Neodiprion lecontei: one gene and its partner. The protein of the gene in region 2 purifies or fractionates together with the protein of the main gene of each other region. This does not show direct contact. Links are inferred from orthologs where the notes say so. Each region holds a gene or a part of one and is shown on either strand. Other genes may lie near its edges.

Region 1 (5,329 bases), on a different chromosome or scaffold from region 2:
GCACCCTTACTCGGTTTCGCTGGCTCTTGTTACTCTGACTTAAAAACGGGTTTTGTAACTTCGGGTGCTTGGAACAGAGTTGCGGAACCGTTTGAAGAAAATATTTTTCAATTACCTTCCAGCGCAAAACCTGTATTACATACAGTCCAAATGGGAAGTATACAGTTTCTGATCATTCAAAATTCTGCAGATATTAAAAATTATTGAAATTTCAAGCGGCATGTGCCAGACCATCCAAATGCAATCCAACTCGAAAACTGAATAATCTTTCAAACATTCAATCTGTGGTCGTTTGTGTCAATGAAATCTCAGAAACACATTTGAAAATAGGGAAAAATAAATTCAAATAAAAAAATGAATTCATCTATAGGAACGTGATTTAAACCGAAAGTCTGTACTCGACAAACATACACATACGCATATCCTCGACCCGCCTATCGTCTAACTGAAGCTATTGTCGACGCTACCGGAGTTAGGGCGAGCAAGGTGACGAGGGGAGAGAAGTAGACAGCTGCGAGGGACCGTTACGCTGTGAACGCGCAACCTGCGCACCCCGCAGACAACACCAATTTGGGGTGCGAAATACATACATTAGAAGAAGGGGGATGCAGGGACGCGAACGTCCCGAAGCCAACGATAAGGGGAGATAAAATGGAAGTTTGAGTGAAAAAATCCGGACCAATCCAAGCAGGAATTTATTTGCAGTTAATTTAACAAGTGCGTAAGACGGGGTTTTACGGTATGAAGGTAACGTACGTGGTGCAAGCATTCTGTATATACAAAAAACTTGACACTGGTACGGCATTTATACGTATAAACATGCTCAATGCGTTTATAATCATATCAATAGCTATGTTATACTGATGAGTCAGCTGAAACGCGCCGCTCTGGAATTCTAAAACAGTTTTGTGTGGTAACCAAGCCAGCTTCGTATATCCTTTGCATTCTTCTTGCGCATTCCTGCAATATGACTTCGAATGAGTCAAGCACGCGGGCATTAGCCATGAATAGTTCTCGTCGACCTCACCAATACCAGATGTTACTACTGACAGCTACTGAACTCTAACAGAGTCCAGCATTGAATTTCTACGCCTGCAATTACTATTAAAATATCGTCGCATGTATGACCAGTTGCTAACAATTAGGTTCACGAACAAGGTAAATTGCTTGCAACAAGGTCTTCGACATTCGCCTACGATCAGGCGTAACGTCATAAGTTGCCTATGATCAGGAGTAAAATGGAAAACATTGGACGTCCGTAAAGAAAGAAATTCAGGATTTTTTACGTAGGGAAAAAAACCAAAATTGCGGAAGAAACATGTTTTTGAGTCTGTTAAATTGTTCCATTCGCAATTGAAGGCATTATTTTACTCAATTCAGATGTGGGACGACGTCCTACGATGCAGAATGACCATAATTGGTCTTGAAATTGGAAAGATGGAATCAAGTCAATATGAGTGGTGGTATCTAGCGGTCGGAAGAATCACTTGGGGCTCACAGATCTCGCGATTGGTCGCGAGAGCTGCGCGAAGGCAAGGCTTCTAGTTGTTTCTGCACGGTGCGATTCGTCGGCCCTTCGTTGTTCCAAGATCAGCATCATTCAACATCACGGCGCCCGACATCGAAGCGGTGATTTCTGAATTTGGTGTTTAGTACGCGATAACGAACAATTAACGATGGTCAGTACTGCATTTAGCTAACTAATAAACTAGCCTAAGTCTCGTTCGAATCTCGTTCCTCGTTACCCCCGGATATAAAATCCTCAAAATCCAAACCCAACGATGGGCGAAGTCGATCCTCCCACGACTGACTGTCCGGTGTCCGCATCAAAATGATGGCGAATCGCGTGACACGAAATGCACGTGTCTCGAGCATCACAGGATTGATACAGGAATTCGGAGACGTTGTCTTCGACGATATGATCGCGTGGTATTGAGCTGCACCGCGGACTTCATTAGGCACACCCTGAATCTCCGTGTCTCGCCTTTGCTTGTCTACTACGGCAACCTAACCTCTCCTGCACATTATGAATCCGGCGGATGATATTCTTTTTAACAAAAATATGAGTGAGCAAACATTTTTTTAGGTGTCACTTAATCCTGTCAGGATATTAAAGAATGAGGCGGAAGAGGAGAAGGCAGAAATAGCACGGCTGAGTTCTTTTGTTGGAGCCATCGCTATTGGCGAACTGGTCAAATCCACTCTAGGCCCTAAAGGCATGGACAAGATTCTTGTCGCTCATGGACGATCAGCTGGTCAAGTTCAGGTTACCAATGACGGGGCCACTATCCTCAAGAGTGTCGGTGTTGATAACCCTGCAGCAAAAATACTTGTGGACATGAGCCGAGTGCAGGATGACGAAGTTGGCGACGGCACAACTTCTGTAACAGTATTGGGTTTGTTATTCATTTATTTGTCTATTGAGTTCAATCAATTGTTTTGAAGACAGCATTAATAGTTTGCAATCCATCACAAATTAAATTGTTTTTTTGTTTTTCTGAAACCTAACAGCGGCTGAATTGCTAAAGGAAGCAGAAAAGTTGATAGATCAGAAGATTCATCCGCAGACAATAATTGCTGGCTGGCGTAGCGCTACTACGGTTGCCAGGGAGGCACTACATAACACGGCGACAGATAATTCAGCGGATCCTGAGACTTTCCGCAAAGATCTTATGAACATTGCACGAACAACGCTTAGTTCAAAGATTCTGTCTCAGCATAAAGAACACTTTAGCAAGCTGGCTGTTGATGCTGTACTGCGTCTCAAAGGCTCAGGCAACTTATCTGCTATACAAATAATAAAAAAACGGGGTGCCACTCTGGCTGATTCATTCCTTGATGAAGGTTTCCTTCTCGATAAAAAACCTGGAGTTCATCAGCCCCAGCGTATCACCGATGCTCGTATTCTGATTGCCAATACCCCCATGGATACTGATAAAATCAAGGTATAAATTAAAATAAAACAATTTTAATTGACTGGGCATTCTTCGAAACTTCTGTTCCAGTTCTATATAAATTGAATATCTTGAATGTAGTAGCTATGCTTGTCACAGCATTTTTTATTGAAATAACACGATACACTGTACTGATACGTGTGATTTCGTGTTTATTTGCATTTTTATTAATTTATTAATTATCTTTCAGGTCTTCGGTTCAAGGGTACGTGTCGATTCGATGGCAAAGATTGCAGAGCTAGAGACTGCAGAAAAGGAGAAGATGAAGGTATTGAAATAACGTCAACATTCGCATTTTCACGTATAAGTTTACTTAATTATTCGCAAAAATATGAGGCTTACGTGTAATGGCCAGAACTAGACGATTCCGTACCAACTAATCAACTTTATATCCTCTGAAATGATGAATTGCTTCCCAACCAGGATAAAGTTGACAAAATAGTGAAGCATGGCTGCAATGTCTTCATAAACAGGCAGTTGATCTACAACTATCCAGAACAGTTATTCGCTGACGCTGGTTTGATGGCCATTGAGCATGCAGATTTTGATGGTATCGAAAGACTCGCCCTTGTAACTGGAGGAGATATAGTCAGTACCTTCGATCATCCCGAACTGGTCAAACTTGGCAAATGTGATTTAATAGAGCAGGTGTGTCTCTAGATCTTGGATACTATAAGTATGCCTTGCAACCTATTTAATTCAGAAAATTGTATCAACAATTCTGATCATCGTTTGAATCACTACAGGTTATGATTGGAGAAGACTCTCTTCTTCGTTTTTCGGGTGTAGCTCTCGGTGAAGCTTGCACCGTTGTCATCAGAGGCGCTACTCAACAAATCCTAGATGAAGCTGAGCGTTCATTACACGACGCTCTCTGCGTACTGGCAGCTACAGTACGCGAGTCGCGTATCGTATTTGGAGGAGGTAAAAAATTTCTCATGTTTTACCAAAACGCCGGTGCAAAAATAATTTGGTTGCTGCGTTGAATACTCGGATTTTATTCAAAATGTTACGCAAACAAATGGGAGTGCGCGCTCCACAATTTAGTAAGAGCACACAACAGTTTTTTCCTTGTAATCCTAAGCCTTATAAAAATCCTAACAGGTTGCAGCGAAATGGCTATGGCTTGTGCAGTGATGAAAGCTGCCACTGCTACCCCTGGAAAAGAGGCTGTTGCCATGGAAGCGTACGCTAGAGCTCTTCAGCAGTTACCTATAGTAATTGCAGACAACGCGGGTTACGACTCAGCTCAGCTAATCAGCGAGCTCAGAGCCGCGCATAATTCGGGAGCCTCAACAATGGGACTTGGTTAGTATTGAATTTCAAGGCCGAATCCTCAGAATCGATATTCACAGGATAACTATAATGTTTCGTATTTCCTACTACAGATATGGAGGAGGGTAAAATCGGCTGCATGAAAAAACTCGGAATCACAGAGTCGTGGGCTGTGAAGCGACAAGTCGTCCTGAGTGCGTCTGAAGCCGCCGAAATGATACTCCGAGTTGACAACATTCTTAAGGCAGCACCGCGAAAACGCGTCCAGGACCGTGGTCACTGTTAAACGGGGCGCGCTTTCCGTTTCAATTCTTTGTAATTTCATTAATTGTCCATTAAATTGAACTGCGCTTCTCCGCATCATAGGTGACGACTAAAACGCGTAACACGCTTATTTAACCGAACACAACTACACGCATTTGTAAACCGGCGACGTGAATCGTCGCCGATTATTATCATTATAATTTTACTTATTAACGAAACACTTCTATGTTCGATATATCGAACATAACAATAAATTCGTTTTCATGTATGTATATGTATAGCGAAATATGTATACGTACATGTATATCGTTTTGTACCTAATATTTTCTTATTCAACAAATCCATATTCATACAAACCTAGAAAATTACAATTGGGAAAGTTGATTCGAAACCCGAAACTCGCAATGAAACATTTGCTACTCAAGTGGGCACAATTACCTAAAAGGGTGAAAAATTGTACCAAATTTCATGTGTGACATGATTAAAATTAATTTACGGTTTTACCATTATACTGATCCGTAGGTTTCGAAAAATGATTACATAATCATTATTCACATATGAACAGTAGTGCTCAAAATACGTTGGATTAGAGTTGATCAGACTGCAGAATAATAAAAATTGAGCGGTCTCTTGGAAAACGAAGAATCCCGGGCTCACAGAGTCGAAGTTCGACAAGTCGTTTGCTGATATAATCGCCGAGTCGATGGACTGTTGGCGCGCTGCGATCGGAGATGAGGAAACTGTCGAGCAACAGTAAAGAGACGGTGGATAACATTGGCAGCGAAGGTGCCAAAGATAGAATCACGGTAGAATATAAATCATCGCTGGCGTTCGCG
Region 2 (7,651 bases):
ACAAAGTGAGATAAATAACCGGCCGTGAAATCAACCACACCCACTACCTTCGTTGCCAGACCTGTATGTAAGACCGTGACTAAGGGCGTGTTCGGAAATTGACTAAAAGTACTGTCAGTATTGAAAATCGACAGTATACGTCACTTGGACTATACCATTTTCAGTACTGACAGTATTTTCAGTCAATTTCCGAACACGCCCTAAGTAGGCCTCTCCCTCACTAGCGCTAGCGGCGAAAATTCACAACATCGGCTTCGTTTTCGAGCACGGTTTTACAGCCGGAGTTCCCAGACCTGTCTATAAGACCGTGTTCACAAGAGAATAGTGTCGCAGTTCTCTTGTCAAATGAAATACTGTGTGCTGACTCCGTCGGTACTCTGATATGGAGACACGTATTGAACAGGCAACACGTCATACATGGTTGCAACAGCATTACCAACGAACCAGGGAGACTAGAGTGAAGGAATGGACACAGCATAGGAGAATAAGTAGTAACGGCGTCCTCAAAAACCCGTTCTTCAATTAGTTCTCCGCTCTGCCATTAGCATCACATAGGTCGAAAAGATCGTAAATATAGTAATAAAATTAGTCCACACCACGCTCTTACATACAGGTCCGCAAAACTAGTAGGGTGAGCTATGACTCAGATAATGAGGCAAAACCGTGGTTCTCGTCTTCGCCGTCTGCAGCGCTGCCCCCTCGGGGTGAGCCAATCATAAATCAGATCCGAACAGCCGATTTTTCGGAATCAACAATCCTGAATAACACTCAAAAATGAAGAAAGATGCGAATAAAAAATGATTGAGATGTTTACTAGCATTCCATGGCGGGCGTGATAATTGTTTTATTTTAACGGAATCCTCAAATGTTTAAGTCAATAAAATCCATAAACATCAAGCGAGGGCTCACAACTTTTGAGACAGTTTGAGATCTTGTGTAGATGATCCACCGTTTACACACTTTACACTGAGTTATGAACTGTCAAAAACTTCGATGAGCAGGTTATCTTATCGGTATATATCTATATCTATCATACCCCGGGCCAATGGCGCCCCTAGCGGATGGATAGAAAACAAGACCGTGTGCCTCACTAACGGTGACACCCCCTACCACTCAAAAGTGCCGGAGTTACCAGACCTGTACGTAAGACCGTGGCCCACACGATGAAAGTGACCGATCCGCGCTTGCGCAGTAGAATGAAAAGTGACGCACCTAAATGATAGTATATTAGAAGTTAAGGAGACTATTTCGAGAATTGTCAAAACTTTTTTTTCATAAATAACGGGACAAAATTGTCCTGAGCTTCTCTCGATTCATTACGCGAAAATGATAAATTACAGATTCCTAATGTTTCAGCTTATTTTTATTCAACGAAATTTGATACACCCATTTTAATAAACATAATAAATTAATTAACACTGCACATTAATAACAAAAAGCTTTACACATGTAAACATAAACACTGCACGAATTTTGCCACATTGAGGTTAGAAAATAAGTAGTAACAGTGTGTCTGATCTAAATATATATATATATGACTACGATCTTTTTGATCGCAGCGCCGCCGTTTTAGGCCGGGATTTCGTGTTCATTTCTGAAGCACGCTGTGTCCACTCCTTTACTCTAGTCTCCCTGCAACGAACGACGCGCGCACCACGCAATGCATTGTCGGAAATAAATGGAGACCGGCAGGAGATTACGGTGAGAAAAGCCAGCTTCTTCGAGTGATTAGAGTCTCGTCGAAAAATAATCCGTTCCTCATCTAGACGGTAAGGGAATTAGTATTTTACAGTCTGTCCATGAGCTGCATGCTTGGCACTTAGTGCTTTTATTTCTCCGTGTTTTGCTCCGATATTACACTAAACACGCAGGTTCTCGTATATCCATCGTAATTAGTAGATTTATAAACTATTTTCACTTAGAAACTCAGTTTTTTTTAACGAAATGCTCTTACCGTATCTTGGCTGCTATTTCACTCGTACTGTGAAACATCCTTCTATTTCATTATTTACCTAATCTTATTGCTGTTTCAAAAATCGCTCGATATCTTTACGCGACTTGTGTCCGTTCATATCTTCCTTGACTAACCTGCTTTTGCATTCGATGTAATCATAGTGCTTTACCTCAGGTCGTTTTCCGACCAAAAACCTCAATCTGCCTCACAATTTACCTAACCCAAACATATCTGCCTAAACTGGCCCGTCATGATTATTCAACAATTTAACTGAACTTGGAACACCGCGTTCAATATTTCAGGTTAGATTGCATCATTAGCTGCCTTTAGAGTATGCAAAGTTTGATCTTTTATAAACCAGAAATTTCAACAAAGTAAAAATGTCTATATAACATTTTATTTGTATTTTTATATGTTTACAGTTTAGGAGCAGTAAACTAACGGAGCAATGTCCGATTCCAGTGATTTGGATCGGCAAATTGAACAGCTGAAAAAATGCGAGATTATCAAAGAAGCCGAAGTTAAGGCTCTCTGTGCTAAAGCTAGGGAAATCCTGATCGAAGAAAGTAATGTGCAGCGAGTCGACTCACCCGTTACTGTAAGTTGGTCGTTGAACCCGTAAATGTGCCAATATTCGATTAATTCCAAAGTCACTATAAATGCGTGAAGTGTATCAGAAATCTGTTTGAAATTTCATTAATTTATTTTTTAAAGTGAAGACCACATTACTACAACAAGATTCTATTAGCCATACGATTCTCAAAATGTATTTCACCTAAATATTGATGGCAGAATTGAGAACACAATTGTAGGCTGCATATTGGTCCTCAAATTCTACACAGAACACTCAACGTTTCTTTTCTCTTCTGAGGAGTTAAGAACACTAATTTCACGGGTTCCCTTGCAGTAAATATAAAAATCCACTGTTTTCTCTTAAACCCAGCCAATATTAGCTGTTCGTTTGATGACTTAATTTTTTTCATTATACAATTGTTAACCTTTAAGGAAAAAATCGCCAGAAAATTCTAATATTTCATGAATTACAGTTACAAAATGGACATGTCATACACTTTGCAAGAGTTCGTAATTCCTATAATTGATATTAATCCTGATTTTCATAGAATTTGGCATGTACCTTCTTCTTATCATTTAAATTTTCCACATTTTGCAAAATTTTTTATCAATAGGCTGAAGAACATCAAAACGATTTTGCCTATTGAAAGTCAATCCTAGACTTTTCTGTAATTCCAACTCCTAAAAACCTATCGTTCTCCAGGATCTACTTCCCAGTCTAAAAATTGCTTCAAAAAAATGTCTCAGGCAGATTATTCACAAATTAACAAATTTTTTGTTGATGAATACAAAGTTTTACTTTTTCTTTTAATCTTTTGAATTGGTTAGCAATTCATTCCAACAAGATTAACCATAAATTTATATTTTTTAGGTTTGCGGTGATATACACGGACAATTTTATGATCTAAAAGAGTTGTTCAAAGTGGGTGGCGATGTTCCTGAAACGAACTACCTTTTCATGGGCGATTTTGTTGACAGGGGATTTTACAGTGTTGAAACATTCTTGCTTCTTCTTGCTTTAAAAGTACGATGGTATTCTTACAAGAAACTTCAGCTATATTGATTACACACTATACATTAAAAACTACTAAAAATAAGTATTAAATAAATGATATAATAAATATGTTAAGCGAAATATCAGAGTTAAAAATTTAACGAAAGTTATCCAGTGTACACAATTATGACTCTTTTTATTTTCAAATCGTGAATAACAATGTTTGCAGGTTCGCTATCCCGACAGAATAACCCTGATCCGTGGTAATCATGAATCGAGACAGATAACGCAGGTTTATGGTTTCTATGACGAATGCTTGCGCAAGTATGGAAGCATAACAGTGTGGCGATACTGCACAGAGATATTTGATTACCTGTCCCTGTCGGCGATAATCGATGGAAAGATATTCTGCGTTCACGGTGGTCTTTCACCTAGTATTCAAACACTGGACCAAATTAGAACAATAGATAGGAAACAAGAGGTATGTTGTTTAATACGGATTATGCTTTATCTAAAAATTAGCGTCAATGCAAATTCGACAATTAAGAAAATATAAAAGTTAAGGAAGATGGTTAACCACAAATCTACTTTTTCATCAATTTTATTACAAAATAATTATTTATTGAGCATTTATCAAATTACTATATTCAGAGCTAAGAAGAGCTCTTTGAAAAAACGAGAATAGAAAATACTGCAATCACCTATAAAGTACAGGTTACATATTGATGGTTTATTTCAATTAATTTGAAAATGGTTGAAAATCTAGTAGCTTCATTCAATTTCATTCCACAAAAGCTCATTTTATTCGGAAGACCATTTTCTACAAAGTCACTGAAATAAATTTTCTTTTTTCCTCATGTCGTTAAATTAGATATTCACGGATTGCGTCAGGTGAAAAAAATGTTTTAGTTAATTTGTAGGAATTAGTCTCCTGAATAAAATGAGCCATCATCGAGTGAAATCGAGCGAATCTACTAAGTTTTTAACCGATTTTGAAGTAACTCGAAACAACGCATCGATATTTAAGCTTTTGTTTATCATGTCAGTATTTTCTACTTTTGTATTTTTGAAGAGATTTTCTCACCATATGTATATAATATCTGCATAAATACTCTGAATACAATTATTTTGCAATAAAATTGATGAAAAGTATTCATTTATGGCTGACCAACTACCTTGAGATTTTGTCACCACCACGAATTCAATTCAATTCGTTCACAATAATTTCAGGTACCACACGACGGTCCAATGTGTGATTTGCTCTGGTCAGATCCTGAGGATACGCAAGGATGGGGCGTTTCTCCTCGAGGCGCTGGATATTTGTTTGGTAGCGACGTTGTTGCACAGTTCAACTCTGCTAATGACATAGACATGATTTGTCGAGCCCATCAATTAGTCATGGAAGGGTACAAGTGGCATTTTAATGAAACAGTCCTTACGGTTTGGTCAGCGCCAAACTATTGCTACAGGTAATTTTTCTTCTTATATAATTAACCATTGAGTCACTGTAATACCCTTCTATACAATTTAACAACAGTATTCAATCAAGAGTATCAAAATATTGGGAATGCGTTTTAAAAATATTTTCTCAGAGATAAATCTTATATTTCATAGAAGCTTCTGATGACAGGTATTTAATTTTTGTTGTCTGATATCACCTTACCACTTCAAACCTTTGACCTTACAATCAGCTTCATAGTCTACTACTTTGAAAATATCTGAAACGTAGCGTAATGCCAAAAGACACATTTCAATCATTTTCCTGATTGTCGAGATTTTATCGACACAAAAGTGCAACAGTAATACCACACTGGACCCGATACTCTAATAGACAGACAGATGGAATTTTTTTATTTCAATACTGATCAATTTTAAATGTTGCATTCTTACTTCATACAGATGTGGTAACGTAGCAGCGATATTAGAACTGAATGAACACCTCCAAAGAGATTTTACCATATTTGAAGCAGCACCGCAAGAGAGTCGAGGAATTCCGAGCAAGAAGCCTCAAGCTGATTACTTTCTGTGAGATTGACTTATTTGGCAAGCAACGTGCTGCACTGCAGTTAAACCTCGACTCGGAGTCAGTTCGTATCTTTACGTTCGCTGAAATTGTACTAATTTTGAATGCATCGGCTTAGTACGATGACACGGTCAAAGTTTAATTGTAAACAGCATCTAAGTGGAAGAAAAATAGTCTTAATTAAACCAATATGAAGTAACGTATTTCCGAGCAGATTTACCAATCTTGCGATTTCTAGTTCACCATGTTATTCCGCATTGGATTTCACCGTTTTAAACAAATCTTGGCATTTGTTGTATCAAATTTGTCCTGTCCGTAAAGGGTTTTTCCATTTTGTAGCCAAAATGTCGTTAAATCTTGCGAAAGGAAACGATTATACGTTTGTTTTCGGATCAATGAGCCTTAGTGCTTAAGTCAAAAGTCAGTCGAAGAGAAAAACTCGTTCAAAAAATCTGCAATATTGTTTGCACCAATGATAGCAAACGCAAATAAAACAACATCCCTACTACGTAATAGAAATGATTATTAGCAAATTCGGATCACACACACTAAAGTCGTCAATAAGGTTGATGAAGTGAAAAGGTTGCATAAATATAGTGTTTCAATCAATTTACTCTGATGTTTTTCATCGAATTCTAATGTGTTTGTGCTCATCATACTAGCTGTCCAAAATTCCACAAATTGTGTGAAAAACATTCCAGAAATTTCACATTCTAGTATACACTTACAATACACAAATGTAACTGTTGACGAACATCTGTTATATCGTACTTATATAAAAATACTTTTATTCACTCTGAGGATTACTTGAAGTAACATTTTTTCTAGGTTATTTAGAAGTCTCTATAATGAACAAATAATGCCATAAACATTAGAATCGGATTAAAAAAAACTCAGTTTTATGTTTTTTAACGTTCTAAGTATAAAACTTTATCTTGAATTGTTGATATCTTAGCTTATGTTATTCGGTTTGTTCACATTGATTTCCATTACACAGATATTAATGGTCTTTCATACGCGTTTACCACAATTGGTGCACATAACATTGTTGGATATTTTTGAATGGTTTCTTATCTTCTGCGAACGTTTAATGCAGTCTCTACGGCCCATTCATCTGCAAAAGCACATGTGCTTGTGAAGTTATTGTGAGTTTACAATTTACAGCGAGGGATGCTTTTGGCCCAAAATCTATGATTCAATGTCCATTGTTATAGGACTTGATATTGAATAATAAATGCATTATATTAAGAATATCTACGTGAAAATATATTGATTGTGAATTCGATCAGACAGGATCATGCTGTATCTAAATTTGAAGCATTTAAATGGAATGTTAATGTGATTTTAAACTTTCACTCTCCGCATTACACCCAATTTACGTAATCGGTCACAAAGTTTGTACAAATCCAATATATTCCGGAAGGTCTGTTCAAATGGGTGATTTTAAAATTGCGTTACATACATACATACATAAATACATACTTTTCGAATAACAGTCGTTATGAGATCAATGAACCAAACTTGAAAGTCTGCTTAGCGATAAAATTGATTGTAATGTCAATTCCCCAGTCACATGTCAACTGATATTTCTTTTCAATATTGACTTATCCGTCATTGTAATAATACGCCTACCACTTCATTTAATAAACAGTAAAAGTAATTATCACTTTTTACGTACTGTCAAAGGGTATATTATTATCTGATGCTTGCTAGAGCCTGTTTTTTAATTCGTAAAATAGAGCTAATCGCGTTCTAGGTAGTAACTATTTTTTACCGACTATTGTAGACTTATTTTAAACTAGTTTGTACGTAACAGTGGTACAATAAAATTAAGGAATAATTTTTACAATTACTTGGTTCTTTTCGTTGTGGTCATAATCCTACGATTATTATTAATGCTATTATTAATAATGTAAATATACGGACATTTGTACGTCTTTTTCTGTGAAAGTTATAATCTAATATTATTCTTTTGAGAAAATTCTTCTCAAATACGAATGAAAAAATTTGGACGAGGGATAAAAAAAAACTTGTCCAAAGATAAAGTGAAAATAAAATCATAATTGTTGTTTTCAATTATACAATGTGTCAAGTGGGTGGATGTTAA

What was found.
Region 1: the proteins of serine/threonine-protein phosphatase 4 catalytic subunit (region 2) and T-complex protein 1 subunit beta purify together in Homo sapiens (affinity purification with mass spectrometry; 4 studies listed by BioGRID and IntAct, with this or other methods). This does not show direct contact. The link is inferred for Neodiprion lecontei from reciprocal best matches to the Homo sapiens genes PPP4C and CCT2.

Annotation. Positions count from the first base shown.
Region 1 is NC_060265.1:2,248,833-2,254,161, forward strand, and holds T-complex protein 1 subunit beta, read left to right. Parts: upstream 1-1,523; 5' UTR 1,524-1,676; coding exon 1,677-1,679; intron 1,680-2,086; coding exon 2,087-2,396; intron 2,397-2,511; coding exon 2,512-2,945; intron 2,946-3,144; coding exon 3,145-3,222; intron 3,223-3,377; coding exon 3,378-3,602; intron 3,603-3,700; coding exon 3,701-3,878; intron 3,879-4,058; coding exon 4,059-4,262; intron 4,263-4,342; coding exon 4,343-4,515; 3' UTR 4,516-4,814; downstream 4,815-5,329. UniProt on the Homo sapiens protein: Component of the chaperonin-containing T-complex (TRiC), a molecular chaperone complex that assists the folding of actin, tubulin and other proteins upon ATP hydrolysis.
Region 2 is NC_060261.1:25,917,834-25,925,484, reverse strand, and holds serine/threonine-protein phosphatase 4 catalytic subunit, read left to right. Parts: upstream 1-1,618; 5' UTR 1,619-1,769; intron 1,770-2,376; 5' UTR 2,377-2,402; coding exon 2,403-2,552; intron 2,553-3,398; coding exon 3,399-3,551; intron 3,552-3,750; coding exon 3,751-4,002; intron 4,003-4,751; coding exon 4,752-4,990; intron 4,991-5,420; coding exon 5,421-5,550; 3' UTR 5,551-7,204; downstream 7,205-7,651. UniProt on the Homo sapiens protein: Protein phosphatase that is involved in many processes such as microtubule organization at centrosomes, maturation of spliceosomal snRNPs, apoptosis, DNA repair, tumor necrosis factor (TNF)-alpha signaling, activation of c-Jun N-terminal kinase MAPK8, regulation of histone acetylation, DNA damage checkpoint signaling, NF-kappa-B activation and cell migration.